5 linked regions of the Nothobranchius furzeri genome follow. The protein of the gene in region 2 interacts with the protein of the main gene of each other region in a pairwise test. Links are inferred from orthologs where the notes say so. Each region holds a gene or a part of one and is shown on either strand. Other genes may lie near its edges.

Region 1 (4,873 bases), on a different chromosome or scaffold from region 2:
CATTTAAAAACACCCTTTCACTCAGTTTAGATAAAAAAGTAAATATTGATGTATACAAATGTTTATATATTTTTTTAATTTTAAATATTTTTTAAAAATATGTTAAAACATAAAAAATATTTTTAAAGCTTAAAATGTAAGGAGGTGTTTATTTATATTTATTGTATATATTTTTTTATATTTTTTACAAATTAAATATGTCTTTTAAAATATAATTACATAATTACTATATTTAAGAACACAACCTTTACATTGGTTTAAGTGAAGGAGGTGTGTTTTTTCATACAGATTCCTTTTATTTAAAATGGTCTTTATACCTTTAGCATACCCCACAGCCTCCCCATCTCCAGGTTCTTCAGTATCAGAGTCTGAGGAGAGTGGGTCGTCCTCTCTGAGAGGTGGGATGATGCCATCAGCCTCAACGACAGCATCTTTCAGCAGCAGTGAGTCAAACTTTACGGTATAGAAACCACTGTCAAGTTCTAAGATGAGAGAAAACGGAAATAATAATTTCAAATGTATAATTATTGTGATCAAACTACATTTAGATGACATTTAACAAATTAAAACAAAATGTGATTGAGAGACCTTTTATTTTGGCGGGGTACCAGATACCATCCTCGTGCCGAGCCAAGCAGGACGAACCCTCTTCGAGGTTACCAAGGTCGCACTCCAAGAAGTCTCTGAGCTCCGACACAAACACCACTTCACCGTGAGAAAACCTGCAAAAGTGAGACGAGTTTCTGTAAGAAAACCATTCAGTTATTTATCACAACTTTCCTCTGACTGATAATAAAATCCCATTCGGAGCGATTCGGTTTTATCCGGGTAAAACAAAAGAATAACAACAAATGTAAAGGTGCAGAAGATTTTTTTTCTAAATAAAAGATGCTAAAATGATGAGAAGATTTTAAAAAATACACACATTGAACATTATTTTCTAAACTTGTGTGTGAATGTCCTTTACATTAATGTGACAAAACACAAATAATAAAAAAGCAACAGATGTTTGGTTTCTGCTTCCGGCTCTCGGAGGGTGCAGACGCTTTTCTTCTCCTCTCCTCCGTATCTTATCCTCAAAGCCTTTGTCTGTCCGCGTGTGCTGGGTGCACGGCTGCTTCTGCATTATTTTCTGGAAACTGAAATTCACTAAAATGGATCTCGTCAGCTGGTCTCTCAACGCGGTTGATACAATTTTTTCAACGACGAGAACGGGAGAAGGGACTCCCGGATGCCCCTCCGGGACAGACCAGCTGTCTGTGGAGGACTCTGAAGACGTGTGGATATTCGTGGTGTTGGTGTCAGGTTTCCTGCTCATTGGCCTTGGAGGCTACTTGGCTTACCGGAAAATTAACGAGCTGTCGAGGAATATTGGCCTGATCCCGGAGCTCAGAGATGGTTTGCACCGCAGTGAATTCAGACTCAAATAATTGTCGAGATGAATCGTAAGCTTGGGACTTTGGCGGAGATTCATTCTTTGGCACAAAAGATGGATGCCATCAAGGAGAGAGTGGACGAATCAGCACGGATTGGGATAGATTAACGTCCATTATTGGGATTCTGAGAGGTTGAGGACCAACAAATTGTAAGACAGAGAGGAAATTATCTCTGTCTGGCCCCAAAACAATTTCTAATCGGAATCTGGTGTCCTTGAGCCTGCAAGGCTCCACGAAAACTCCCCCCCCCCCCTCAGAAGATATGTGGAATGTGCCGTCGCTATGGCAACTCTACTCTGTCTCCTATCCCAGCCTGGGCGGGACAGCGGGAAGGCCGCTGAAACGTTCCAGGGTCACTGCAACCCTCCAACCCTCCAACCCTCAATGCTTCCCCCCCACCCCCCCCCCCCCCCCATCCACACTGAGGTGACATGCGCTGCTTATCGTGGCTGCAGGAAATGAAGTGGAGATAGTCCCAACCCACCACCCCACCTAGTGGACACTTATGTTGTGTTGTCTGAAGTCTGTTGCATATATGTTTGAGGGCAGCTCTGAAGTGCCTTTTTTTTCCTCCACCTGAACCAATCCTCATGTAACCCTCTTATCTCTGTTAACTCAGGGTTGCGAATGACCACAGTCACCAATTCTTGTCATGTCTCTTGCCCGTGTATGTCTGATCTCTGAATTGTGTGTACTGAAACTCTAATTTCCCTCTGGGATTAATAAAGCATCTTTGATTTGATTTTACCTGCAGTTATCCAGAAAGCGACATTTGTCTTCCAGGTAGAACGGACAGGGCTTCATAGATTTTTGGGTGGGGTAGATGTAGAGCACCCTGACTTGTGCCTCCTCTCCATCAGCAGCCGGTTCTGCCCCCACCACCATGGCATTGTGATACTCCAGCGTCCCCCATGTTGTCCTGTAAGGCGCCCTTACTTTGGTACCACTAAGATCATCTTCCTCCTCATCTTCCTCCTCATAATACACGCTCCCACTGTCCTTATCCTTCTCTCTGGTATCAGAGCTGCTGCCAGAACTTTCTCCTAGTTCAGAGTAAAACGCAGCAAATTCAGCATCAAAGACACCGGAATCAGCCGCTGCCTCTGAGGTGTTCATCTGAGGTCCGTTGCTGTCTTCTAGGCTGGACAGTAGCCGGCTTTTCTGTACAGATAAAAGGCTGGCTTCTGTTAGCGCTATCAGCTGGCAGAGGTCTTCTTTGAGCTTGAGCAGGTCTGGCTGCTGGCTGGGGTCCAGGCCAGCTGACAGGGCCATCTCCACCTGCTGCAGCTGGGCCCCATAGGCAGCGATGGCAGCCTCCAGGCTTTCTTCATCCATGCTGACAGCTTGGCACGAGCTGGGACAGCATCAACCGCCTCCAACAAGAGATGAAGAAGATGAACAAAAGGTGCAGAGGAACTACAGTGTCATTACATGTTTATACATTAATAGTACAAACAGATCAAAGACTACACTTCCAGATATTTGATGGATTACACAGAAAGAACAAGAATTTCAGACGTTTTCTCTGTGTGAAGCATATATTTATATTTAAATGAATGAGGCTCTTCATAGTAACCTCCCCATCCATCCTGCTAGCATGGGTTGTTTTAGCTGCTAGCCGTGTTTCCATAAACTCTGGTGAATATAAAGGTCGTGTCATTACCTCAGTGATTACTCGAGCTCTCTGACATCCACTGCAGCAATAAACGAGGTCACGTCTGCGGAAATCCTTGTTTTATTCATGTCAAAAAAGAAGCAAGTTGACACAAAACACAGCAGAATGACGTCAAAGCGGCAAACGCGAACAACAAGAGCACTTCCGGTAAAAATGTTTTCCTTTCAAAATAAAGTAGAAACAACTGTGGTCAGTCAGCAAGGTTAAAATAGTTTCTACATTCATCAGAGGTGTCAAAAACAATCACATTCGTTACTAATGAAGAATAGATAATAGGGTTTAACAAGAATTACGTTTTATCTAAAGCATCTTTCAAGGAACTCAAGGTCACTTTACAACAAAAATAATAGAAATCAAGTTAAAAACAAGCTAAACAAATCACTCATTAAATCCCCAGAAATTACAGAGCCAAAAGTCAGAAAGCAAAACAATAAAACTAACTCATAAATAGTATGCTGTCTTGGAGAGTTTAGATTTGAAAATGGAGAGGGGGTCAGAAATGCAGAAGTCTCACTTCAAGCATTTTACTCAAGTAAAAGCACTGGTTGCAAAACAGCTTAAAGTATAAAGTGAACACGTAATGTAAGTTAAAAAAAATGCCATTAAGGACAACAAAGACGCGCACATTACCACACCTTTTATAAAACAGGCCATTACTGACCATAATGATGGTATTTAATATAAAATGTCAAAAATTGACAAATTTGAGATACACTGGGCCTGTTTCAGCTGCATATATCCATCCATCCATCCATCTATTTTCATCCGCTTATCCAGAGTTGGGTCGCAGGGGCAGTAGCCTAAGGCAAGAGGCCCAGACTTCCCTCTCCCCAGCCACTTGGGCCAGCTCCTCCGAGGGGAATCCCAAGGTGTTCCCTGGCCAGGTGAGAGCCATAGTCCCTCCACCGTGTCCTGGGTCTACCTTTAGGTCTCCTCCCGGTTGGACGTGCCCGGAAAACCTCACCAGGGAGATGTCCAGGAGGCATCCTGACCAGATGACTGAGCCACCTCAACTGGCTCCTCTCAATGTGGAAGAGCAGCGGCTCTACTCCGAGCTCCTCCCGAATGACTGATCTTCTCACCCTATCTCTAAGGGAGAGCCCAGCCACTTTTCTGAGAAAACTCATTTCGGCCGCTTGGATCCGCGATCTCGTTTTATCGGTCACTACCCAAAGCTCACGACCATAGTTGAGGGTAGGAACGTAGATTGACCGGTAAATCGAGAGCTTTGCTTTCTGACTCGGCTCTCTCTTCACCACGACAGACCGGTACAACGCCCGCATCACTGCAGATGCAGCACCAATCCGCCTATCGATCTCACGCTCCAGTTTTCCCTCACTCATGAACAAGACCCCGAGATACTTCCACTTGGGGCAGGACCTCGTCCCTGACCCGGAGAAGGCATTCTACCCTTTTCCGAATCAAGACCATGGTCTCAGATTTAGAGGAGCTGATTCTCATCCCAGCTGCTTCACACTAGGCTGCGAACTGCTCCAGCGAAAGCTGAAGATCACATTCTGATGAAGCCAACAGGACCACATCATCTTCAAAAAGCAGAGACCTGATCCTCAGGCCACCAAAACGGATGCCCTCCACACCTTGGCTGCGCCTAAAAATCCTGTCCATAAAGGTTATGAACAGAATCGGTGACAAAGGGCAGCCTTGGTGGAGTCCTATTCTCACTGGGAACGAGCCCGACTCACTGCCGGCAATGTGGACCAAGCTCTGACACCGGTCATACAGGAACCTAACAGCCTGTATC
Region 2 (5,053 bases):
GGTCAGTTTTAAATGAATTCATCTCAACCAGCAGGCAAGCTCTTATGTGTTTTTGTGCAAGAAAAGCAGAGCAGATGGTTATCCACATATAGAAAAGGGTAACTATTGCTTAGGCTACTTAGACATGTTTATGAAAATTGATTTTCTAATTTGAAAACAAAGCCATAGTCAACTATTAAAACCCAGAAATGATCATGTAGTTAATGAGTGTTACCATAGCTCTTGGGCAGCCAGTAATACACGGTGGACAGAGTCAGGAGGCTCTTCAGGATAGACTCTGATAACTTCTCAGCATCCTGCAGTACAACAAAGTTTACATGACAGCCTGAATCATGAAGGACTGAGAAACGATAGGAAGATAAACATATACGACTGAAAAGTTTGAAAGAACATCTAGCTCAGGTTTTAAACATTTTAATAAACAGATTGTGAATAGGAAATCGCTGAGTGGCACATGTCAGCATAAATGTGCAGTTTCCGGGTCTGCAGCCTTGTACCATTGAGGAATTCTTATGGGTGGAGACAGGACTTCATCAAATCCAAATGCCCTTTTACTGGGTTGAAGGGATGGCTTAAAAAATAAAATTCTATTTCAGAAATGATGACAACTTAATCGTGCCAATGGTAACATTTTATCATATACTGTGCCGACAGTTGTTCTGGAAGGTGTAAAATAACATGATACAGTCCCTTTACGTTTTGTGTGAATAATAACTTATAACAACAAACAAACTAACCTGTAAAGAGGGGAGCGGAGGTCTGGAGAAGGCTAGGCTGAGTTTAGTGGCTTCCTGGGACACTGCCTTTACTGCTTGGTCTGATTACAAACAACAGTTAGATAGATTAAATTTTTGATTATATAGTATAGATGACAGTGTCCTAATGTCAGAAATAATAGTAAGTCAGATAGAGCTGATGAGCAAAAGAGACTTGCCTTAATAGGTAACGTTCACATTATGTACTCAACAGTGCAAGATCGTTGATACAAAAAAAAACATGAAAAATCTTTTGTAAAAAAAATTGAAAACCTTAATATTGACAAATGAGATAATTGCTTTGTGCTACAGAAAATGGCCTAAGACACATATGTCAGACACAAGGCCCACGGGCCAGATGTGGCCCGCGGAGCATTTTTATGTGGCCCGTGAGATAAATATCAAAGATGTATTAAAACTGACCCACTGGTCGATTTTACCGCAAAGACTACAACTCCCATGATGCTTTGCAGCATTAGAGCAGAGCCGAAGCGCCCCCTCCTTTGTGTTTCTTCCAGCGTCTGCTGCCGGTGTCTGCAGCTCCGCTGTCTCGGACAAACTAAACACTCCTCTCACTCAGCGCCAAGTTAATCTCAGCCATTTGCCGACGTTGAAGCCCAGAAACTGAGATTTTAACCGCTCAGTAATGTGTTCACGACTGAAAGAGAAAGTTTTCCAACCAACTTCCAGACAGAGCTGATATAACTCCAGCGAGCGACACGCTCAAATCGGCATGACTCTGTGGCTGCTGTAGTTTTTATTTTTCCTCCCCAACACACAACAACGTGGTCAAGCTGCTCAGACGCTCTCCAAGTTCAGCAGCACAAACCTATGTGAGCACCTGTTGTCATCTAATGTTGTCATTATTATGATGAAGTCTCCTCCTCAGCTCAGAGCTCCTCAACCCCATGATGGCTGGAACAGGTGAGCATCACAGTAAATCAGTGGACCAAACTGAGCTTTACATATTTTGGTTTTATGCTCTCTTTCTGCTCCAAAACATGAAAGTTAGCAGGTGAGATATTGCATTTCATTTAAGATAAAATTATACTTTTATGTTGTTGTTGGCCCGTGAGAAAAGATTTAACCTACAGTAAAACAGGAACTGGAAAGGCTGCAGATGGATGAATAGAATAGAAAATCCTTTTATTGTTCCTCAGTGGGGAAAGCTAGACGTCACAGCAGCGATGACACTTATTACAGGAGGAAAAAAAGGAGAATAACAAATAAAAATGAACAAACAACAAGAAAACATAAATCCTTAATAGATTTTAAAAATGTTGAATATACCACAAGTAATGAAAATCACTGATGTGTTTCATTTCAAATTGACTGGCTCATGTGTAAATTGGTTGCTCCACATTCAGAGTTAATGCAAAAATAAGTTTGTTTCCAAATTTTAAAGTTTAAAATTGCATTTATGTTGAAAAAGAAAATGTGCAAATTTGCCATCACTTTTTCAAAAAATATTAAGTTTGGCTTGCAACTTCGTCCCAGATTTTCATTTTGGCCCAGTGTGAATTTGAGTTTGACACCCCGGACCTAAGAAAAAGAGTCAAGGAGTTGAACGTGTGGCAGGAGGAGAATTCTCATATACTCAACTCAAAGTGTCCCAGAAGTTAGAAAGGTTGAAATCTCCATCTGATTCATTTGACTCTCCATCTGCAGAGAAAATCAAAGGTTGTAATTACACTTTTAAACATGTGTTTTGTGATTATGTTGCTTCTATCTGGAAGCTGCTTTAGGTCAGACCAAATGTTTCATTGAGGTAAAAGTAAAAAGGTTATTTATTTACGTTGTATAACCCTAGCCCAAACAACAACAACAACAACAAAACACTTAAATGGAAATATATGAAATTATATACAGGATAACCTTCAGTTTGGTTTACTGCCAATACATTTCTGAGGAATGAGGTCTCTTACTACAGTCACTGGGAATGACACGTTACAGAATCCACTACATCAATTTCTCATAAGGATCATTCAGCTGGCCAACTTGCTTTTTTAAGCTACAGGTTTATTATATGTTTGGTTTTCGCAGAATTTGAGGGGCTTTTACGTAGCAACGAAACCTGTCTGGCTCAATAAGATAACGGTGGATGGCTAGATGACGCGTGACAATGTATCCCTGCTTGGCATTTGAAAAGTTACTTTCTCATTTTATTTGTCTTTAGTGGGCTGTTTAAAAGGCGACTGCACCGTTTTCCGTTTTAAGTTGTTTTAAATGCAGCCAACTATACACATTAAACAACAAAGACTGTTGCTAGCTTGGCACTAACACTGGCATACTGAGTTTTTTTAATGAGGTAAGAAATGTGTCTTAAATTTACCTCTGACTCGGTCTCTGATACACTGAATGGAGTTCAAAGCATTTCGTAAAGGTACGGACAAACTCCCGTTGATATTATCAGCACTCATGACGACGAAGTTTGAGGAAAAGCGTTAGCAATGCTGCGCTAACACGAGTGTTGTGGAACTACAGAAGCCCGGAACGTGGATCCGGGGAATATAATAAGCGAAACAATCAATCCCCCGGAAGCAGAAGAATAAAATGCGGTGAAATTGTTTACAGTGAAAACCACAGATACTGTATATATTCTTCCACTCCCTGAGCATATTTAATCTTCACTAAATATGAAACTACAACACTCTTCATACCTGGACTTGATTTTTCTGAAATGACAACATTAGGCTTAAATCCTTAGGCTTATATTTATGTCGATGATGCTTAAAACTAATGATTTTTTTTAATGTTTAAAAAGTGCGTTTTCAGCACAAAGATTGCATCTGAATTACATTGGAACATGTGTAGCTTAACAAGTACAACACTTAGATTCTTCAAATCTGGACTAGATTGTTCTATATTAATAGCAGAGTCCTTGAAATATAGTTGGTGGTTTGTGAAACCTAATGGGTGTATTTAATAAACCCATGCACATAAGAAACAGTGTTCATTACATTCATATAAAATGGCAAAAAGGTCATAAAACTTGGACTGTAGCCAATCAAAAAACTAAAATTGCCAATAGCCCCGCTTTAAATCCACAACAAAAAATCCAGTTTGGCCTATGGGAGAGCAGGGAAACCGCAGAAAGTCCCGTCCTTGTTTCCTGTTGAATTTTGTGACAAGTCTGTAGTTACCATCCAAAAAAGATTAAAAGACGAGGTTAAAGTTCATCTGTGAAATTGCTATTGTGAACTGTACGCAAATCAAAATAACGTAAAATTATAAAGTTGCTTAAACGTTTTCCATCAATAAATAGTTAGCACCGTTTTAAAATTATTTTGAAATTCACTACCGGAAGTTAGCTTTGTTTTGTAACTTAACTTGCGATGATCCATTTAATTGCAACCTGGGTCTAAAGTGACAGACAGTAAGTTTGAAACCACATATTTTCGCGTTTAGAGCACTAATTCTAAATAGTGTTCTCTTTTTTTAACGCTGGGGTTAGGTGGCTGAACTGCTTTGTTGATTTGGTCGCAGCCAACGTGTTGGTGTTGACGGAGGTCAGCAGGTCTTCGCCGAACCCAGCCTGCCGAGATGCTTTCCCCGGGAAGGACCGTGTCCTCCAGGCTTCTGAGGCCCGCCTCTTGGTTTCCTTTTCGGCTGGGCTGTGAGCGGTCCGTCGCCAGCTCCAAGCAGAAAGGTAACAGCATAACGGAACACACTGGCCTCTTCGTTTTCCTATGAGTATCTAGCATTAAGCTAATCCCAAAGTGACGCACTTTGCTGGGGTGACGAGAAACTTCACAACACCTACTGTGTGTTAAGTCCAGGTCAAATCAAGTAACGTGGAGCGTGTGTTGGGTTAGAGCTGGGACAGTGCATCCTCATCAATAAAGTATTTAATGACTTTAAAACTGAAGTAATATAAAATAATAACTAATAGTTTTGATTATTAATAACTGATATTATTGCTAGATTGATTGTAATCATATTCAGCCAAATGAAAGACAAAAAGCACAATGGGCAAAGCTGTTACAGAAACAATAGACTAGTTAACTTCAGATAACGCTCCGCTGTCCAGCACAGGAACAGAAAACATTTCAGATGAGCTGAGAAGTATCAAAGTCCAGAGTTTATAGTTTCCTTTTTAGAAAACATACACTACAATTTGGAAAACATAATTAATCTGGATAGATTATTATTAATCTAGACATTTCTTGCAGAAATGTTGTTTGACTCTGCCTACTTGGCTACTATGGAAACCATTCCTGTGAAGTTAGGCTCATCCAACTAAACAAAGCACCTTGATACCCTACTTGCGGCAATTGTTGAACAATTGTAGGTGTACG
Region 3 (4,751 bases), on a different chromosome or scaffold from region 2:
TTAGATGGAGCTGTACTATGAGTGTTGTCTATAATTCTCATTGCTCTTTTCTGCAAAACAAACAAAGGTTGTGTATACGTTCTATATGCAGTTCCCCAGATTTCTACACAATAATTTAAGTATGGCAGAATCAGTGCATTGTATAGTAATAACAATCCTTCACTATTTAGTACAAACTTTACACTATATAATACTGCAACGACTTTGGCCATTTTACCTTTTATATAGCCTATATGTGATTTCCAGCTTAGAGCTTCATCAATCATTACTCCCAGTCATTTGACAGTGTTGTTAAAACATGAAAATATGTTGAAAAAAGTCAGATTAAAGTTCAAAGTGGGTCCAAAGCTAATTTCTATGATTGTTGGAGAACCGTTTCAGCTAAGCTAATGCCTTTTCCAGGAAGCATTTACTCCCACCTCTAACAAACCCTAACCCCAATGCTGCTGCAAAGGTCCAGCTCAAGACGCGGTTCTGAGCATTTACTTCCTCTGCTGCACAACAACAGAAGACAAGTTTGAGATCACTTGAATAAACTTTCCTCAGACGTTCCTGCAGCCTCTAAAGCCTAATTCATGCTTCTCCCTCAGCGTCCCGAGGGAGAGACGCACGGACGGAGATGTTTTGCCCTCAGACTTCTCCGTTTTCTGACCCTGTTTTGTACGTAAGCAAGCTTGATATATGAGACCCCTGGTCTACAGGGCCTTACATGGACAAGCACCATCTTACATTGGTGATCTTCTTAGTCCCTACACCCCCAGCAGGTCCCTGAGGTCCAGTGATCAAAGCCTACTGGTTGTGCAGCACCAGGCTAAAGGTCAAAGGTGACAGATCATCTGCTGCTGTGGCCCCCAGACTCTGGACCTCTCTCCCCCTGCGCCTGAGATCAGTGGACTCAGTGGTCTCCTTCAAAAAGCAGCTGAAGACTCACCTGTTCAGGCTTTTGCGTGACCTTCATCACCACCCTCTCCTTATTCTGCTCTTTATACCCATTACGCCCTTCTCAGTGTTCCAACTAACCATGCTACTCGTTGATATGTGCTACTTTGGGGAAATGCACATGCACAGACCGATCACAGGCTGTTTCCCTAAAGAGACGCGCTACCTCTGGAAGTTTCTGCTTGTTGTAGGTTTACCTGACAGCTTGTAAAATATCATTATACTGTGAAGTAATTTCTCCCATAGTTTACCATCATTCATGACAAACTGTCTTTTTCATAAAAAAATCACGACAAACATTGTAAATTGTTGCTAATAATTATACTACAGTTCTGTATTTTTGAGTAATATTACCTATTTAAAATAAAACGTGCTTAATAAGTGCGTTATTATACTGTAAACAAGAGCAAAACTGTCGTAACATGATGCAGTAGGAATATTCCACGAGGAAGCAGGGATAGTCAGAACACCCTCATGGACGTCCATCTTTCCTATTAATTTTCTCTCTGTTTTCTTACATTTTTAAATCATAATTGTTTTTTTCTAATCTTAAACATGTCTTTAAATAATTTCAATAAATGTTTTTCATATTTTAAATTTCGCTATAAAAGACAGTTTTCTTTCTTTCGTTCACACCGCTTGGTGGCAGTAATGCGCCATCTTGTTGTTTGTCAACCGCCAATAAAAATCCAGAAGAAGCCACAGAAGAACACGTGTTTCCGGTTTGAGTAGCTGCAGTTGGCAAGCCGCTAATAAACAGTAGAAATGGTTCGTAAATTGAAACACCATGAGCAGAAGCTGCTGAAGAAGGTGGACTTTATTAACTGGGAGGTGGACAACAACCTTCACGAGGTCAAGGTGCTGCGGAGGTATCATATCGAGAAGCGGGAGGACTACATGAAGTAAGCTAGCTGCTAAACCTACCTGATATTTATCTTTATATAATTAGATAGTTTAGACAGTGTTCACTCGTTAAATCACAGACTGTATGAAGCTAATTTAACGCTAATGTTCAGAAAGCACGCTGTCCACTGAGGTGGACATGTAATAAATTATTTGTAAATGATTAAATGTTTGTTGAAGTTTGTTTCATTCACACCTAAAGATGAATGAAAAAAATTGTTTAAAAAATCATGGTTGAAGATTTCATAATTCATGCATCAAAGGGTTCCCTTTTTCTGTAAATTTGTGTGCAACAGTGTTGTTAATGATTTGATCTATTTAAAAATACTTATAATTAAAAGAATGAACACGATTTAAACGTTTATTGTGGGTAAATTTGTGTGCAAGATAAAACAGCGTTTTTTAATGATTTTTGATTAAAAAATTCTTTAATTGAAAAGAATAAACATGATTTAAACTCTTTTTGTAAAATTGCGTGCAAGATAAAACTGCGTTTTTTTATTTATTTAAAAATACTTTTAATTAAAAGAATAAACACAATTTAAACATCCCTTCTTTTTTTTTGTAAAATTGTTGGCAAGGTAAAACCCATCAAGTACTATGTCCTCCCCAATGTTCATAAAGATCTGATGTGGTATTTCAAAATAAAGTGCAATCAAAGTTGACTATAAAGACAATTTTCCCCATATTCAATGGTTTCTTTCTCTAAAAACAGTTTGATTGCGCTACATCATTCCACTTCAGTATTACAGTACACATTGAGTACTACATCCTCCCCGACTTTCATAAAGATGTGATGTGGCATTTCGAAATAAAGTGCAATCAAATTTGTCAATGACAATTTTCACTATATATATATATATATATAAATGTCACATCAGAATTAACGATGTACCCAAACAAGTTCATTTAACGATCATTCCTGAACTTGTTCCTTGTTTTATTTTTGAGTGTAAACCAAACTCACGAATTTTGCCTGGGGGGGGGGGGGGGGGGTGTTTACGGTTAACCATGCATTGACTCATTTGCTGTGTCTGGTTTTCTCCACACTTAGAATTACGGCCGTACATCAGCACCTCACCTAACACACTATTGTAGGCGTGTTTTGTCGGAGCGGGCGTGGGCAGAGCTTTGCCAAAAATTAACCATTTCATTTCCGGGTGTAAATTCAGGGTGACGAAAATGACTCGTTTATAAGATAAATGACATCTCAGCAGTACAGCATCCATACAGCACAATGTCTCAATCCAGAATGACTTCCTATCTCTGGCTCCTTCAAAGGCAGTTGGAAATCTGGGTGTTGTGATTGATGAACACCTGACCTTTAAAGATCACGTTGCCTCTGTTGCTCGTTCATGCCGCTTTGCGCTGTATAACATACGAAAGATCAGACCATACCTAACATAACATGCCACCCAGCTCCTGGTGCAATCTACTGTCATCTCCCGCCTCGATTACTGCAACGCCCTTCTAACTGGTCTTCCAGCCTGGACTGTCAGACCTGTTCAGATGGTCCAGAACGCAGCGGCGCGTCTGGTCTTCAATCAGCCAAAAAGAGCACACGTCACCCCTCTGTTCATTGAGCTCCACTGGCTACCGCTAGCAGCACGCATCAAATTCAAATTGCTAACACTAGCATACAAAGTCCGAGACGGTACGGCTCCCATCTACCTGAATCCTCTTGCAAAGGCTTACGTCTCGGCCCGGCCGCTCCGGTCATCACAGGATGGTCGGCTAGCAGTGCCTACACCACGCTCAGGACAATCCAGACTCTTCTCATGCATCGTTCCACAAATGTGGAATGACCTACCAAGCACTACCAGAACAGGGGCTTCCTTTTCAATTTTCAAGAAACTCCTGAAGACCCTGCTCTTCAGAGAGCATCTTCTAAACTAGCACCCTCCCTGCACCCGTCCCCCCCTCTCTACTGTCCACTCCTTGTTCCCTCCTCTCCATGACTGATGTCAAGTTGTTGTTGTTGTTGTTAGCCTCAAGGGCAACATGCCGATTATCACTTGTAAGTCGCGTTGGACAAAAGCGTCTGCTAAATACATAAACATAGTACTAATGGTAGTATATTATGATGTACTGTGTCTACCTTTGCTCTCAGTGGTTTAAAATAGCAGGATATGGAACCTTTATGGGCTTCAATAACCGGTTAAAAATGTTTTGGGAAACGTGCGTCCCTATTATGTCTGTTTTTCCTGATCTTTTTAATTTGATGCTGGATGCTTAAATGAAGTTAAATAGAAACGTTTAGCTAACCGAGTGCTAAACTTGGCATGGGCACAACCTGCAGCAGCAGCCTGGAGTGGTGGTGTTTACGGCAGCGCTACCCTGGCTGAACATTTCTGCTAGAGGAGCTTTAAACCCTATTTATTTTGCTCAGGTACAACAAGCTGAGTCGCAGCATCAGAAATCTGGCTCAGAAGATTCGAGACCTGGATGAGAAGGATGGCTTCAGAGCTCAGAGTACGCACCACCTGTTAGAAAAGCTGTAAGTTGCTCCTGTCGTGCTCACACAGAAACCAGTCTGTAACTCTAACATGGCCGCGCGTGTTTGTACCCGTTTACCTCGAACGCAGCTTTAGCTCCACCCACTGATGGTTTATGCTGGTGAAGGTTCTCACTCGGTCTTACAGGTCATGGTGATCCAAAAGGCAGCTGGACCTCTTAGGTTTCTTGGAGTCGTTTCACTTCTCGTCTGAGGAGCTTTGTCAATTCTAACTGGAATATAGGAGAGCTGTTGCTGTCTGTTGTTTTTAACGAGCAGAAACTACTCTGAGTACCCTACCTCTCTACCCCTGAGTTGTTGGCCTCTGTTGAGAGGGAGTCGTGTGGATTAGATGCAGGAAGGTGTGACCTAGACTGAAACTGCTTATGAATGAAATCAGGGCTGAAACGATTCC
Region 4 (5,057 bases), on a different chromosome or scaffold from region 2:
TACAGTAAACCAGTGTTTCTTAATTATTTTCCATCAAGCCCCCGTCAAGGAACATCATTTCTATGTCTATGGGGAGCGTAACATAGTAGATGCTTTTTAATTTCTCTCCCATCAGGAGCGTTTCTGATCAACAGCAAATGCGTTCCACGCTGCTGGTCATGTAAGGTCACAAGATCACCGGAGAGTTGCAAGTTCCCGTCTGTCTGTCCGTCTGTTGGCACCAAAACAAGCAAGCATGCATCTAAAAGCTCTGGTTTATTTTCGGGTTACTTTAACAAAGGAAGTGTCACAGATGACGTTTGTTTCTTCAGTAAGTTAGGTGACTGGAAATCTGCAGGTGTCTTTCATTTTCAAGTTTACCAGATGTGCTGTACTGCCCCAGTGTATTATTTTCTGTCTGTTCTGATCTGACACTCCGTGGCTAATGCTGGCTTTATGCTAACACACCTCCACAGCCATCTTGACTCATTAAAGTCAATCCATTCCATAAAATATGAGCAGGAGACAAAGTTAGTAGCCAGTGATTTCTCCTACATAAAACATTTATATAACTGATGAAAAGAACACGCCATATAATAACCGTTTAGATCATTTCGGAGGGGAAAAACATCAACTTCTGTTGGCAATTTTAGAAATACCAAGAGATGTGCAACTTAAATGATATTGTTTTTGTTTGTAGAAACATAACTTAGCTTTATTAAGATAAAACAAGTGGTGCTCGCTGCAGAACCACAAAGGTGGAGCTGCACCAGAGTCAGCCCCACCCATTCCATCAGAGTCAGTCCAATTCCTTCCAGTTGTCAGACTTAATAGCATTCTGGAACCAAAGAGGGTGTTATAGCTAATATCATCTAAAATGCAAGATTGAGGATGGAGTTGAGAAGTTAATTGAACAGTTTTTGTAAAGCTTCCATATAATTAAAAATCGAACTTTTGGGACTTTTTACCATGTTATATTGTCATTTCCTCATAAGAAACACGCCGAAGCCATTTTTGGCCTCATTCATGCATTTACCCCCCATCTCAGCTCCAATTTGGTCTCCTCCCCCAAAGCGGGTCTGGTCTTGGTTCTCAAATCTGGATATTCTGTGAATTTTCTGAAAAATTATTTCTGAAATAACTTCTACTGAGACACCGCCGGACTTATGTTAAGCATAATTCTGCGCACACGAAGACGCATAAGACCCTGGATGATGGCGCTCAATGGTTAAAGGAATCACGGAAGCGGTGTGATGCGCTCCGTTGCGCGTCTAGACGGTACCGTAGGAGGCGAGCTGCCATGGTTTGCCGCATGCTACAGGAGCGGGCTATCTAGGAGTGCACAGCGTCCCCCGGTCCCCTCCTCCTCCCTGTCCGGAACTCGACCTCACCAGTATGAAGCAGCCACCTTGTCCGTAACAAGTCCAGACCTGTTACTAGGGGCATCGTCCGGTTTAATTACGGAAAACGTTATCCGGATGTTTGTATTCAGACACAAAGGTCTTACGGACAGAGTCCTGAACATTTCTGTTTTTCATGGCCTGTCTGAAGGGGGCTCAACTTGCTCGGTTAGTTTTTACTTGTTTCTCTTTTCTCTCTTATCTTAGTGCTTTTATTTGTTAACTTTTAATTTTATGCTTTGCTTTTATGTGCGTTAAGTGTTTTTAGCTTTACATTTTACTCCTATGCTGTCTTTGTTGCTGTGTTTTAGTCTTTCGCTCTCCTGTACAGCACTTCGGTTAGCTGCCACTCTATTTTTAAATGTGCTTTAGAAATGAACTGGTATGGTATTAGGGTACTGTACATAATCCCCTACAGCACCTGATTATTAAGCAACAGGTCGTGAAACTTCACTACAACATAGAAGTTTATATGTTTCCATTTATTTTTACATTACAAATGTTGGCACTGTAAAGCTCCGTTTTGCTGTCAGTAGTTGCTTATCAGCATTAATTAAAGATGGTCTTAAATAATCAAGATCTCAATTTCAGTCAAAATACAGCAGCCCTAGAACCCATTATTATGAGCCGACTGTATTTTTACATCTTTATATTTTGAACTTGAACCACAAACCTGCAAAACCCTGGTCTGGATTCTTCTTCTTTTTCTTCCTCTCCCATCGTTCAGCCTCATCAGCTGTGACTTCCAGTAGCTTCACTCTGTCATAATCCTTGCCAGAGGCGGCACATTCCTTAAGAAATTTTTAATAACCATCAAAGCATGAAATACCATTCTTATATCTTTTAAATCTTACATTTTATTTAATTAATCTAGGTATTTCACTAATGTTTGTGTATTAAACACACTTTTATGGTACAGATTTCATGACATTATTTTTGATAAGTCAAGGCAGATGCAGAAATAGACCAACTCTGGGATGACCAATCAATGCAGGATAAAGCAACCCAACACAAAAGATTAAATACATTATAAAAGCAATAACAAAAGCTTGACTTTTCAAACAAAAGCTATTCTTTTAGAATGGTTTGATAAAATGATTTAGTGTGGTCAATAAATCAGATGGCAAACAAAAAAATAAAAATACCTTCTTCTTTTCACTCTCAGCAATTTCCCACTCCAGTCGGGCTTTTTTAGCTTCCCAGTTGGCAGGAAGTTTCAGTCTCTTATCCTCCTCCACAACCTCCTGCTGATTCAGCTTTCGTGCTTCGTTCTGCAGTAAAAACGAACAGATAAATAAATATTTACAAGCAGGTTAATCTACTTTACAATGATCTAATCCCGAAATGCTCATATTATTTTCCGAGTTATTATAACACAACAAAATATACAGTCGCTATGTGATCGTTAGGCATGCCATCACTACACACAACACTGTTTATATGTAGAAAAACAACCAACCCGTTTGAAATGTAACTCTCTGAATTTACGAAGTCTCGCTTCTCTCTTCTCGGAAGCCAAAGTTTCGGCCGGTTCTGCTTCAGTAGCCGTGGCGGTTCCCTGTATGAAAGAGCAAATTAACACAATTTACAAGAAATAAAATCTCATTTATGCTATTTTATGACCGACGGTGTTAGTCCGATATGTTGTTTGTTAGCACACATGCTAACGAGGAACAGCTTGTAAAAAAAACAACGAAGTTTATGCAACAGGAATGAAGCTTTGACAATAACTGAAGGAGAAACACGTTTCTAAAAAGGTGTACATCAACGGAGTCGTTATCACCTTAAAATATATCAGCTTTAGTAAATAAGCAAAATACCAACCTCGTCACAGGACGCCATTGTTATTCTGGCCTGAGAAAGCTGAGCGGAAATACGTCATTAGCACCGGATATAGAATCAAAACAAAATAAAAGCTTACAAAAACAAACAAAATTATTTTTCTTGCCTTGAAATATTTTAATATTTTATCCTTAAGGCAAAACACATATTTCCTTTTAATGACGATTTATATGTATTACTATATTTTCTTCATGGTTCATAGCACAAAAGCACAGTCAATGCTCAAAGAGCTGACAAAGCTTTTTTGTGGGAAAATAGTGCAACACACTTAGATCACGGGGTGTTTTCCAGAATTTGCCACCCATTTGTTGGTGGTTCTGTGCTTAAATCAGCAATTAAAGATGTTATTTTTGAGCTGCTCTTTATCTGATTTGAGGACCCAAACACAGAAGGTCAGTTTGTACATTTTTATTAAGTAAATGATTGTCACACAAGAGCAAGTCAAATTACAATTTCCAGGAACCAAAATCCTATCAGAAATGTAGCATTTGACCAAACTGATTGCTATGAAATTGGAAAAACTCTGGAAAATGTTTTGGAATGAAGAAGTAATTTGGTTGTATTCTAACGTTAGGAATACATGTGAAAATGTATGACTAACTTTTGAAGTTTTTAGTTACAGCCTACACCCGTTTTTAGAGGTCCAAATGACATTAGGCAAGCAAACAGTAATCAGTTTAAATCCAAGAAATTGCTCCTGCCAGATGTAATAAAATCCTCCCTAAGTGTTCCTGAGATATTATGTCTTAACAAATGGGAGTGACAGACAAGCTGGAAAACAGCTTTCAGTCTCTGACACAAAGGTATGTAAAGTTTATTCATTTCATTGACATTTAAATGCAACAGAACCAGCAGAAACTTTACTACATTTCATCAAATAACCCTCATAAATCAAGAAAAGACATATCAACACAAATACAGTCAATCCTCAGGTGGTTTTATTCTGCATGACTCAACTGGAGCAGAACTCACATATAAAATATGAATATTCTCTAAGTATGTTCATATCTATAGGAGTTTCTTTGACATTCACCGAGGATTTAACTGCACACGTTTGTCATCAGACCCCAAAATAAAAAAATAAGTTGTGATACCAAAAATAAATTAGCCTTTTTGTGCCATGATTTCAAAAGTCGCTGCCAGGCATTTTGTGTTTTACTGAAACATCTTTGTAAACAATTTCAAACCACCCATCTTGCTTCATTTTGATGTTGAAATGCATTGAAAAGTCTTGCCAAACTGTATTGGAAACTGGAATGACACGCACAGGCAGCAATTATGAATAAGACTGGAGGTTATAAAAGAGATGCATAAAAGGTCAAGCATAAAGTCATCAGTTACCGCACACAGAGTTGGGTCTGACTCTCTTAAACTAATTAGCTATGGTTGTTTTGCTGCAAAGAAACCAAATGTTGAAAACATTTTTTTCCCTTTTGCCCACAAACACACAAGTATCAATCAAGGATTTTGAGGACAGAACTTCCAAAATACGATTTATTTTTTTATCTGATCAGAGGACAAAGGTAAACACTTTCAAGAGCCATCTGAGCATGTTTGACTTGCCAAAATGGATGTGCTCCCCGTTTGATTGCATTATACTAATCGAGCTCCTTCGGAGGATGTAATTAAGTGGAGTTTATAGTCTTAGATTAAAGCATCCTCTAGATCACAGGCAATGGTAATGGAGTGATGCATTTTCACTGGAAACCAGATGGGAGCACATCACAACAGTTCAAAACATCACCGGGTGCAGTAATGGGCACAGCTAGGCTACTAGCATGCAAAAAGCAAAACATCCTCATAAGGAATGACTGACTAAGTCACAAGGAAGTGACT
Region 5 (4,310 bases), on a different chromosome or scaffold from region 2:
AAAAATAAAAGCACAAAGATTTCTACATTTATTTACGGTTCTCTGATGCTCTTTTGATGCCAGCCTCATCTTCATTTGCATCAGGGCTCAACCCATAAATATCAAACCTTTAAATCAGAAAATACGCAGCAGAATCATTATGTGCAGGATTTGGAAATGACTGAAGTCATCGGAAATGTGTGTTTAAACTGCATCACCCACCAAGAAGGCATGGACATCCTCATGTTCAAAGAGACGGGCATCGTGGGGCTGTGGATAAGGGACATTGTAACAGCAAGCTGCATAAATCTTGACTCAGGCTTTGAAATCAGACTTTTCTCATCAAATACTTGCGTTGTGAACCTTAAATACTTACGCATGAGGACAGATGTATTTCACATGTGGTATTCTGATGCCTGCAAAAGCCTCTGCCCAGCCATGCCTGTCAGGTTTCACCCAAAACAACCAGTATAAAACGGCTAATTAAACAGACAAAGCAGTGTGAATGCAAAAAAATGACTTAATTACTTTACTCACCCCGTATCTCCAAGGCCATGCAGAAATATGACCTATAAATAACAATAACACTTATTTTCACTGACAGAGGTTCACACATATCACATTTCGACAGCTTCTGATTTCTAGCAGTTCCATGCTAATGTTTGGGATTTGATCTAAAAAGCACTAAATGAGCTGACAGCTCACCGCTGCAGTGGCTTTTCGGGCAGCAGGCACAATGGTAGGTAAAGGAGCTGACATGTTGTTGCCGCACATACAGCGCTGAGGCAGCTGGACAAGTTAGCTAACAAGTTAGCTCTTCGTAGCTAACAGCAATATAACACAAAAGTGAAGGCCTCCAGATACACAGCAACTGAAGAACGAGCTCCGTCAGACGATGGAGGTCAACGCTTCACCGTCTCTTGTCCTGTCCTTTCTGGGAGTTTAGTTTAGACAGAAATTAGTCGTGGCACTGACTGACAGAAGCTGCTAGCAGCACACCATGCCAGCTGCTGTGACAGGATTTGTAGCCCCGCCCTTTGATTTAAGTGATTGGTTCTCAAAAGCACCCCAATTAACTGCCGATCAGCCACTGGTCCGCTTAAATGTCAGTTTGAGGTTCGCACATAAACTATAACATGCTGTTATTGTTGTTGTTTTCTGTATTGCTGATAATTGTTTTATTGTATATTTAATAATTTTATTTTGTTTTATTAGCAATAAAATATAATAAATTCAAAGAAAATACGGAAAAAATATTGTTAAATAGTATTTATAAATAGTTTTTAAAAGTGGAATGTTTTAGCATATTTTAAAATAATCAATAATAATTTTTCTTCCAATCTCATTGATTGGTCTTTCTTGTGATTTGTCGTCATCTAGTGGCAACATTACAATACGGCAGCAACTTTTTCATGAGACCTTGTACATTTTTTTTAGCTAGTGTTGCTCAGAAATGAAGTAAACGGTCATTTAAAATTGCTATATTTCATATATTGAAATGCATACAAACTTCACTTTTTTCCAGACATTCCAAGTATCGTGCCTTTATTTTGAAACATCACTCCACCGTGAAATAGCTTCCGGTGTGGTGGAGTCACGTGATTAGTTTGCCCTTGGTTTGCTAACTTTAACATGTGAGCTGCAGAAACATGTCTGTTACTAAGAAAACCGGCAGTAAAGCTTTGGATGTTTTACAGAATTTGCCGCGGATCACTTTAGCAAACCTACGACCTGAGCCAGGATCCTGGAAGTGGGTACGTTTGATCCGGTCTCGTGGGCTACATTAGCACTGATGCTAACATGACTAGCATCTGAATAGAGATGGAGGTTAGTAAACGTGATAAATAACCTTATGTGGTTTAAATGGTCTGCAGGGGAGACGACGAGGTAGAGGACAGCACGGCGGTAACAGGAGCGGCCGAGGTCACAAAGGAGAGCGGCAGAGGGGGAACAGACCCCGGCTGGGCTTCGAGGGAGGGCAGACCCCCTTCTATCTGGTTATACCAAAATATGGTTTCAACGAAGGACACAGGTGCAAACTCGTCACCGTGGTTTACATCTGTCACACATCAGTAGATCAGGAAGTTATCATTTAAAAATCTAAAGATCACAAAGCAGTACGTTTATTAGGCAGCAGAACTCATAAATAGCTTAATTCTGGGCTAATTTTTGATATTTCTGTGTAACCCACCAGCTTATAAAACTGTTCTATCACCCTTAAAGCATTTTTGCACTACACAGAAAATACATCACAAACAGGATAGGGAGTTAAGTCATGTTATTTTTCTGTTTTATTTGTTCTTCCTAGCCGGCGTCCACAGTACATGCCCCTGACCCTGAAACGACTCCAGTACCTGATTGATCTGGGCCGAGTGGACCCGGCTCAGCCCATAGATCTGACCCAGCTGGTCAATGCCAGAGGAGTGACCATCCAACCTCTGAAGAGGCACTACGGAGTCCAGCTGGTGGATGAGGTAAACTTCAGCTCAGCCTGCTAGGATGGAGGTCAAAAGCATCAAAATAACACAATTATTCATTCAGAGGGGAGAAAATGTGTATAGTGTTATGGATGTGTGATGTTTTCTAAATTAACACCAATAATAACTCTGACCAGCAGGTGACACCACATGACAGTTTTGTCATTAAACTGCTGCTTCCTTTTCCCTGATTTTTCACTCTCCCATTTTAACTAGAATGCATTTTATTTTTCAGGGAGCTGACATATTTGCAGCCAAAATCAACATTGAGGTTCAGAGAGCAACTGAAGGAGCCATAGCTGCTATCGAGAAGAACGGAGGCGTCATCACCACCAGTTTCTACGATCCCATAAGTCTCGGTAGCTAATGGGTTTTTATGAAACCGTAATACGTGAGTTTTATTTGAAGATTGTTGATGAAAGGGTTGAGGATCTGCTCTTTTCCTCAGGGATCCTGATCAAGCCCGTCCCGTTCTTCGTGAGGGGCCAGCCAATCCCAAAGCGGATGCTGCCAGGAGAGGACATGGTCCCGTACTACACGAGTGCTGAAAACCGGGGTTACTTAGCAGATCTGGAAGACATCCAGCAGGCCCGGCGTGCCCTGGCACAGAAGTACGGCTATGCGCTGCCAGATATTTCAAAGGATGAACTTTGTGACATGCTTGCCACAAGGAAGGATGTTCGACAGATCTTCTTTGGCCTCTCTCCAGGCTGGGTCGTTAACATGCCGGAGAAGAAGATTCTGAAACCGACAGATGAGAAACTTTTGAAATATTACAGTTCGTAGGTGTTGGAGGCGATCTGTGGCCAACAAAATCAGAAAAACACAGTTTTTTTTCATAAATATGACAATTATTAGTATTATGATTAAAGTTCATTGGAAGTATTCAGGTTGTTACCACTTACATATATGCAGCAGGTTTTTTTCTTTACAAGTGAGTATTGTACGGTCTCGTGTCGGAGCACAAGCTGCATGATGGAAGGAACGTGAACTGGAACAGGTGAGAGGGAAATAAGGAAAATAAGATAACTCAAAGAATGAAAACAGGAAACAGGTGCCTGGCGATGTGTGTAACCCGTGAAATGGGTTGCATAGGCTGTAGGGGGGAATTAGAAATTAGTCATAGGCAGCTGTATCCTGGTGTGGGGGGGTCAAAAGATTCATATCCCCTCCTCACAACCCCCCCTCCCCCACCCTTGGTGGAGGGCAAACCCCATCAAGTCATTTATGAAATCAGCAGATTTTCTTTAATGTTTACAACCTGAAGAAAATTCCATTTTCTTCATTAAATTCATTTTTTTAGATTTAAATGTCAAAATTATAAACAACTCAGATTTTATCTTTAGAGTTGCTGCTGTTGGATTTAAGCTTTTTTTAAACAACAAAGCCAGATTTAAGATAAATATTCCACTTTAAATGTCAAAGGTTTGACTTAATGTGAGTGTTTTCCTGAATCTACGATCAAGGACACACACACACATCCTCACACACATATACGTAGCCCAGCCAGGAAAAACCAGCCCAAATTCTTACAGCATAACACTTTAAATAAATCACACCACAGGAAAGAAACAGCACAATCATTGTTTATTGCAGACCTGCAGCGCTTATCTTCAAAGCAGCAGATCCTTTAGAGTTCTCATCAGAGAGAGAAGGGCCGATCGAGGTGCACACATAAATCCTTTTTAGTGGATTGTAATTAAAAAAGAATTAATTCCCTTATTTGTAGTTTATGCCCCAAATAATCTAATAAGTAGTGATTTTGCTGCCTAAAATAGTCGGTTTGGAGCCATTGCTGCAGTCTCAGACAAGCTTTAGTTAATAAGTAGTGTTAATTACAGCTGGGTGAGGGAT

The links. The genes of interacting proteins can lie anywhere in the genome.
Region 1: the proteins of ccndbp1 (region 2) and zgpat interact in binary tests that used the Homo sapiens proteins (3 or more experiments, as listed by UniProt). The two-hybrid records come from large-scale screens. The link is inferred for Nothobranchius furzeri from reciprocal best matches to the Homo sapiens genes CCNDBP1 and ZGPAT.
Region 3: the proteins of ccndbp1 (region 2) and imp3 interact in binary tests that used the Homo sapiens proteins (3 or more experiments, as listed by UniProt). The two-hybrid records come from large-scale screens. The link is inferred for Nothobranchius furzeri from reciprocal best matches to the Homo sapiens genes CCNDBP1 and IMP3.
Region 4: the proteins of ccndbp1 (region 2) and syf2 interact in binary tests that used the Homo sapiens proteins (3 or more experiments, as listed by UniProt). The link is inferred for Nothobranchius furzeri from reciprocal best matches to the Homo sapiens genes CCNDBP1 and SYF2.
Region 5: the proteins of ccndbp1 (region 2) and mrpl15 interact in binary tests that used the Homo sapiens proteins (3 or more experiments, as listed by UniProt). The two-hybrid records come from large-scale screens. The link is inferred for Nothobranchius furzeri from reciprocal best matches to the Homo sapiens genes CCNDBP1 and MRPL15.

The regions. Positions count from the first base shown.
Region 1 is NC_091755.1:51,598,010-51,602,882, forward strand, and holds the start of zgpat (zinc finger CCCH-type with G patch domain-containing protein), read right to left. Parts: upstream 3,270-4,873; 5' UTR 3,100-3,269; intron 2,810-3,099; 5' UTR 2,772-2,809; coding exon 2,185-2,771; intron 723-2,184; coding exon 589-722; intron 483-588; coding exon 318-482; intron 1-317. UniProt on the Homo sapiens protein: Transcription repressor that specifically binds the 5'-GGAG[GA]A[GA]A-3' consensus sequence. Represses transcription by recruiting the chromatin multiprotein complex NuRD to target promoters.
Region 2 is NC_091743.1:73,303,886-73,308,938, forward strand, and holds the start of ccndbp1 (cyclin-D1-binding protein 1 homolog), read right to left. Parts: upstream 3,270-5,053; 5' UTR 3,176-3,269; coding exon 3,088-3,175; intron 2,418-3,087; coding exon 2,358-2,417; intron 818-2,357; coding exon 738-817; intron 297-737; coding exon 215-296; intron 1-214. Other genes in the region: nfs1 (cysteine desulfurase), read left to right, coding at 4,299-4,404. UniProt on the Homo sapiens protein: May negatively regulate cell cycle progression. May act at least in part via inhibition of the cyclin-D1/CDK4 complex, thereby preventing phosphorylation of RB1 and blocking E2F-dependent transcription.
Region 3 is NC_091751.1:70,487,021-70,491,771, reverse strand, and holds the start of imp3 (U3 small nucleolar ribonucleoprotein protein IMP3), read left to right. Parts: upstream 1-1,482; 5' UTR 1,483-1,704; coding exon 1,705-1,841; intron 1,842-4,231; coding exon 4,232-4,339; intron 4,340-4,751. UniProt on the Homo sapiens protein: Component of the 60-80S U3 small nucleolar ribonucleoprotein (U3 snoRNP). Required for the early cleavages during pre-18S ribosomal RNA processing. Part of the small subunit (SSU) processome, first precursor of the small eukaryotic ribosomal subunit.
Region 4 is NC_091758.1:35,523,767-35,528,823, forward strand, and holds the start of syf2 (pre-mRNA-splicing factor syf2), read right to left. Parts: upstream 3,270-5,057; 5' UTR 3,222-3,269; coding exon 3,204-3,221; intron 2,938-3,203; coding exon 2,839-2,937; intron 2,651-2,838; coding exon 2,525-2,650; intron 2,171-2,524; coding exon 2,053-2,170; intron 1-2,052. UniProt on the Homo sapiens protein: Involved in pre-mRNA splicing as component of the spliceosome.
Region 5 is NC_091747.1:46,193,740-46,198,049, reverse strand, and holds mrpl15 (large ribosomal subunit protein uL15m), read left to right. Parts: upstream 1-1,545; 5' UTR 1,546-1,628; coding exon 1,629-1,733; intron 1,734-1,853; coding exon 1,854-2,011; intron 2,012-2,287; coding exon 2,288-2,453; intron 2,454-2,691; coding exon 2,692-2,815; intron 2,816-2,904; coding exon 2,905-3,242; 3' UTR 3,243-3,341; downstream 3,342-4,310. Other genes in the region: lypla1 (acyl-protein thioesterase 1), read right to left, coding at 37-107, 202-249, 356-421, 517-548, 685-753.